Linked DNA regions of Macaca fascicularis. Each later gene encodes a partner of the first gene's protein in a complex. Links are inferred from orthologs where the notes say so. Each region holds a gene or a part of one and is shown on either strand. Other genes may lie near its edges.

Evidence for each region.
Region 2: the proteins of RALGAPA2 (region 1) and NKIRAS1 are in contact, whole or in part, in a crystal structure (PDB 9QU1), measured with the Homo sapiens proteins. The link is inferred for Macaca fascicularis from reciprocal best matches to the Homo sapiens genes RALGAPA2 and NKIRAS1. Residues at the interface, in NP_065076.2 of Homo sapiens: Pro20, Lys21, Tyr51, Ser52, Gln53, Phe56, Tyr59, Glu60, Ile63, Arg99, Phe102, Arg103, Trp104, His105, Tyr106, Gln107, Ser108, Lys185, Ile186, Tyr187, Pro188, Glu189; in NP_001364280.1 of Homo sapiens: Lys6, Glu22, Leu24, Leu25, Tyr26, Glu34, Met39, Glu40, Asp41, Val42, Tyr43, Met44, Ala45, Ser46, Val47, Glu48, Lys54, Gln56, His58, Tyr60, His74, Tyr75, Ser77, Phe78, Lys108, Thr162.

Annotation. Positions count from the first base shown.
Region 1 is NC_088384.1:66,928,182-66,930,743, reverse strand, and holds part of RALGAPA2 (ral GTPase-activating protein subunit alpha-2), read right to left. Parts: intron 1,905-2,562; coding exon 1,750-1,904; 3' UTR 1-1,749.
Region 2 is NC_088376.1:24,452,098-24,455,748, forward strand, and holds part of NKIRAS1 (NF-kappa-B inhibitor-interacting Ras-like protein 1), read left to right. Parts: intron 1-3,082; coding exon 3,083-3,328; intron 3,329-3,651. UniProt on the Homo sapiens protein: Atypical Ras-like protein that acts as a potent regulator of NF-kappa-B activity by preventing the degradation of NF-kappa-B inhibitor beta (NFKBIB) by most signals, explaining why NFKBIB is more resistant to degradation.

The DNA of each region.
Region 1 (2,562 bases):
GTACCCTGGGCCCTTCCCAAAACAGCCCAGGAGCTGGAAGCTTCCTTCCACTTTGGGGCACCCTCATTCTCTTGTGTTCAGGTGATTCTCAAGGTGCTCCTATCAGTGGCCTGGCCTCAAGTGCTACCTGCAATCCCCTATAAAGCAGAAAAGCAAATTCTCTCCAGGATGAGCAGGCCCACCCTTCCGACAGAATGACCAGCTCAGCCCTTTCTCATTTGTCCCAAGAATGAGTCTGGCTCCTGGGTCTTCCCGTTCTCTCTACAAAGGCCAGGTTCCAGCCAAACCAGCTCAATAGCTAATGGAAAAAACTGGCTCCTCAGTGAAAATGGCCGCTCTGATGGGGTGAGAGCCTCAGAAGGCTTCTTCAGGCCTGGGTGGCCAAGCAGCCTGAAGGTAACAAGTGTGTGCAAGGGCTGAGGGCAGAGGGCAGAGGATGGCGGGGAGACCTCATGCACAGGGCCCACCTTTCCCAGGACTGGCCCACCCATTATACGCCGAGTTAGGGGCTGCGTCTCTCGTGCTGCTCTCCCTTCCCACTGCAGGGCGTTGCTCTCTCCCCAGCCACTGTGAGAACAAAGCCTGCGCAGTGGGGATTGACTCTGATGAGTTTCTCGGATTTACTTCCCAAGTGAAGTGCGGGGTGGAGCAAACCTCTAGCTCTGAGGCAGGTCAAGGGTCCAGGGCAGAGCCCAGGGTCCGTGCCAGCAGCTCTTCACTGCTGACTGATTTCTCTGCTGCAGGACGGGCAGGGCCCACCCAGTGCCCCGCAGCAGGAGAGGGCTTACCATTGCTTCTCTTTTCTTTCATTCATTAATTAATTCATTCATTTTTTTAAGAAAGAAAGAAAGAAAGAAAAAACAAAAAACAGGTCTAATGTGCCTTCCTTGGAGCCAAATGGGCAAAAATATAAGGATTAAATCCCTTGCTTAGAATCTGCTACCAAAAGCTTTGTGTGACAAGAAACATTTCCGAGGCCTGTCTGAGGCCTCTCTGGGCAACAGATGAGAGCCAAGTTGCGGCGTGAGGCTTCTGGAGGCACAAGGCCATTCGGGGGGTGCCCGGCTCAGCCTAGCGCCTGAAGCCGGCATGCGCCTTTTGTGTGGATGTGGTCTGTGCTGTTTTGAGCCTTGGGACACTTCCTGTCCTGCAGGAACTTATGCAAGGACAGGACCCTGTATTTCTGGAATCTTCTGAGTGTTCTAAGATAGGGGTATCACCGTCACGACCTGAAGGGCCTCTGCGTGGTGAGCAGAACCTCGTTCAGTTAGAGGGCGTCAGGTACCAGGTGGAACAACACTGGACAACTGAGGTAAAACGTCTCCTGGGCAAAAGACCCTGGGGAAAGCCAATTTCCACGATGATGAAAGTTTTGAGTAAACCATAAATCCTAACTTAAAAGGAGCTAGCAAAATCAATGCAGATAGAATTCCTCAGTCAGACAATGGTTTCGCCAGCCCCTCTGTGAATCACGCTTGGGTTCATAAATGAGAAGAAACAACTTGGGGTGCAGAAGCCAGCTGCCCTCCGCCCCTCCCTGAAAGAGCAGAATCTTTTCCTGCTGTGATCTGCCCAGAGCAGCCACACCAATGCCCATGTGACAGTGGGTTCATCTCTGGTTTTTGGTGACTTTTTCGTTTCTTCTTTGGAAGTCCAAGGTTTGTGAGGTTTCAGGACAAGATGATACAGCCTAGTTTGAGTCCCATCTGAGATGCTGTAGTGGGATTCACCACGGGCTTCAGAAGTCCACTAATGGGAAGACCTGCTGAGGGCACTAGTACAGCAATGAAATTTCCTGGAGATTCTGGGTTTAGTGGCTTGGGGCAGAAGCAGGAGAGGGTGTTCTGTCTCCTCCTCACTCAGGGGCTCTTCGAGGTCAGCACTCAGACTGGAGGCCAGGGCCCCTGCAAAGGAAGCAGAGAACTGCTAAGTCATGGAGGCAATGGAGGCTCTACGGCCACACAATTCAGGGAGGATCTGTGGCACTCGGAAGGGAGGGAGATTCCCAGGAGAAGGGTCTGGTGACCTCCTCCCACGCTATGCCGGCAAAGATGTTTGTTGAATGAATAAATACATGAATGTCTTTCTTCTTATTCTTTGCTCTGGGCTTTTCTGCAGCATAAAAGAAGCTATGGATCTTGTGAAATTAATTCAGACTTACTGTCCAATTCATAAGTAAAGAATGAAGAGAAAAGGCATCTGGTCATAGTGAAAGGGAGGAAGAGCCACTGAAGAAGCAGTGGCTGGAGTCAATGGAAAAGCCCGTGAAACTTCAGAGGACGCTCTGCAGATCCCTGGCGGTGTTCCTGGAATCTCCACTTGTTTACATATCAATATTCTACACAATGAGTTACAACTCAATTATTCCCCAAAGGGCCTAAGACTAGAGGTCAGGACTAAATTGCTTGTCTGAATGAGTCCAGATGAGCATACAGCTGTTCAGCACCGGAGGGAAAAGGAATAAAATTAAAACCTGCGCATCTGCATCCCGTGCTTCCCCAGGGCTGCCGTCGGCGTGCTCAGAGGAATACAAGAATGCCTGCTGCAACACCGAGCCACTGT
Region 2 (3,651 bases), on another chromosome or scaffold:
TTCTAGATGGAAATGCATGTTCTTCAGTTTTGAATTATTTTGTTGTTGCTTTCTTTCCTCTGTGTTCTCTGTTCTTTTTTTCTGGAACTATCTTTTTGGATGCTGGACCTTCTGGACTAGTCTTTGAATTTTCTTATTTCTCCTTTCCTGTTTCTCATCTCTCAATATTTTTGTACCGCTTTTTGGGAGATATCCTCATCTTTATTTTCCAGCCCTTCTATTGAGTTTTTGTTTTTCAGTATCCTGTTCCTATTTCATGGATGTGCTATCTTATTTTTTTGATAGATTAGGTAGTTTTTTGTTTGTTTTGTTTTTCTTTTCTTTGTATAGTTGGTGTCCTCTGTAGTGGTCTCTTCTTGTTAGTCTCTGTTTTCTTCAGGTGTCTACTAAACCTTGGTTATCTGTTCATAATTAAAAATGGACACCTAGGCCCAGTGCATTGGCTCACACCTGTAATCGTAGCACTTTGGGAGGCAGAGGCAGGCAGATAGCTTGAGCTCAGGAGTTCGAGACCAGCCTGGGCAACATGGTAAAACCCCATCTGTACGAAAAAATACAAGAATTAGTGGGGCTTGGTGGTGTGCACCTGTTGTCCCAGCCACTTGAAGGACTGAGGTGGGAGGATTGCTGGAGCCCAGGAGATCGAGGCTGCAATGAGCTGAGATTGTCCCAGTGAACTCCAGTCTAGATGACAAAGTGAGACCCTGTCTCAAAAATAAATAAATAAATAAGACTTAAAAAGCCAACTGGGGCGGGACGCGGTGGCTCAAGCCTGTAATCCCGGCACTTTGGGAGGCCGAGACGGGCAGATCACGAGGTCAGGAGATCGACACCATCCTGGCTAACACGGTGAAACCCCGTCTTTACTAAAAAATACAAAAAAACTAGCTGGGCGAGGTGGCGGGCACCTGTAATCCCAGCTACTCCGGAGGTTGAGGCAGGAGAATGGCATAAACCTGGGAGGTGGAGCTTGCAGTGAGCCGAGATCCAGCCACTGCACTCCAGCCTGGGTGACAGAGCGAGACTCCATCTCAAAAAAAAACAAAAAAAAACCAATTGGAAGCTCTAGGCATATGGATAGGGTTCATGACTTTGAGCTTCACTAAAGTGATCTGGCAGGGGCATTTGTTGGGGAAGCCTAGATGTCAGTATATTTAGGAGTTTCTCCTTTTCCATTGGCCAGATTCTCCAGATTCCTCTGGATGGGGATAAAGTCCTGGCTGCCAGTGTTTTGGGAGCAGAAAGGGAGAGCTGGAGGACTTCAACATTCAGTATGTGTGTGTGCAGGCATGTCACTTAATTGCCCCGTTTTCATGGTGGAACTCATTGCCTTTATCCCACAGGCCAGACAGCCTCTGTTTTACGCTCCCCAGAGATTGCACCCTTAAGCCGTCCCCTGGCATGTGAGATAGGTTGTTGCCCAGCAGCATGGAGTGGGAGAGGAGATCTAGAGAACTAGTGGAAGACTCTTGACTTCATTTGATCTTTAGAGTACCAAAATATCAAAAGGTCTAAGCTTTAGACCCCCTTTTGGAGAGGCAGGTAGGGGTGGGCTAACAGGACTGGCTTTTGGTGGATAAAACGTCACGTGACAAAACACTTGGTAGTTTTTGCTTTTAAATTAATTTGTAATCAAAGCCCAGTATGTTTGTGTCTTAATAGATAACCTTTAATTTCCTTAGGGCTTAATTTATGACAGGATGACACAGACATGTATATACATAATCAAATTTATGAATAATTTTACCTTTCTAAACACTGAATACATTCTTTATGAGTTATGTTGATGAAAGTAAATTTTTGGTTTCTCATGATGCAATCTATATATTACCATGTGATTATTCCTTTTAATCTAATACTTATGGAGATTTTATGTAATCTAATACTTACGGACATTTCATGTAAGGCATCTGGAACAAATCATTCTACAGTATATAGGTTGTTTAGGAAAACTGTAACTAGAGTTTTAAAAAAAACTATAACATAGTATGACTTGGGGGGATAAAGGATGTTACCCATGTGATTTTACCTCTGGATGTATCTCACATTTATTTATTTTTATTTTTTTAAATTATTTTTTAAGATGGAGTCTCGCTCTCTCGCCCAGGCTGGAGTGCAATGGCATGATCTCGGCTCACTGCAACCTCTGCCTCCCGGGTTCAAGCAATTCTCCCTGCCTCAACCTCCTGAGTAGCTGGGATTACAGGCGCCCGCCACCACACCCAGTGAATTTTTGTATTTTTAGTAGGGACGGGGTTTGACCATGTTGGCCAGACTGGTCTTGAACTCCTGACCTCAGGTGATCTGCCCACCTTGGCCTCCCAAAGTGCTGGGATTATAGGCGTGAGCCACCGCACCTGGCCTCATATTTAAATATGGAGGTGATTACTGGGACTATACCTTACCTGTCTTATCACATGTCTCTCCACTATTATTAAAATTCAGAGTGCTAATCTTCTCCCTTTAATTCCTTTATCAACAAGGGCTTATTGAATATTTGCTGTGTATACAGAATGGTTCCTTTCACTCAGTAAACTTAGAGACTAGTTGAAGAGATAAAACTTGCACAAATGAAACAGTGGTAAAATGCATTTTTAAAATATCATAAACAAGAAGGGGATTTTTATTTTTATGCAGAAGAAGTATTTTTTAAAAGAATTTTGTTTATGCCAGGTGCAGTGCCTCACACCTGTAATCCCAGCACTTTTAGAGGCCAAAGTGGGTAGATTGCTTGAGCCCAGGAGTTCGAGACCAGCCTGGGCCACATGGTGAAAGCCCGTCTCTACAAAAAGTAGCTGGGCATGATGGCACCTGTAGTCCCAGCTGGGAGGGACTACTTGGGAGGCTAAAGTGGGAGGATCCCTTGAGCCCAGGAAGCAGAGGTTGCAGTGAGCTGAGATTGAGCCACTGCACTTTAGCCTGGGCAACAGAACAGGACCCTGTTTCAAAAAAAAGTAAAATAGAAATGTGATTATTATATGTGGTAAATAGGAAACCTAGAAAGCCAGTTTCTAAGGGACAAGAAAATACTGAGCAGTTCACTGGCTTAGCCAAAAAGAGTAATTTCTTTTCTTAATCCCAGGAATGGAAGATTGCGAAACAATGGAGGATGTGTACATGGCTTCAGTGGAAACAGACCGAGGAGTAAAAGAACAGTTACATCTTTATGACACCAGAGGTCTACAGGAAGGCGTGGAGCTGCCAAAGCATTATTTTTCATTTGCTGATGGCTTTGTTCTTGTGTACAGTGTGAATAACCTTGAATCCTTTCAAAGAGTGGAGCTTCTGAAGAAAGAAATTGATAAGTTCAAAGACAAAAAAGAGGCAAGTGGATAAAAATGCCAAATGTGAATTATAATACCATTTAAATTATAGCACAGACTTTTGGGTAGTTTATTTTCAGATCATTACAATGTATTCTTAGTATCTGTAAAACCTTAACCCTTTACAGTTTTTTTCTTTTCTTTTCTTTTTTTTTTGTTTTTTGTTTTTGTTTTTGTTTTGTTTTTTGAAACGGAGTCTCGCTCTGTCTCCCAGGCAGGAGTGCAAAGTGCAATGGTACGATCTTGGCTCTCTGCAACCTCCGCCTCCCAGGTACAAGCGATTCTCCTCCCCAGAGGAGAACCAGCTACTGCTTCAGCCTCCCCAGTA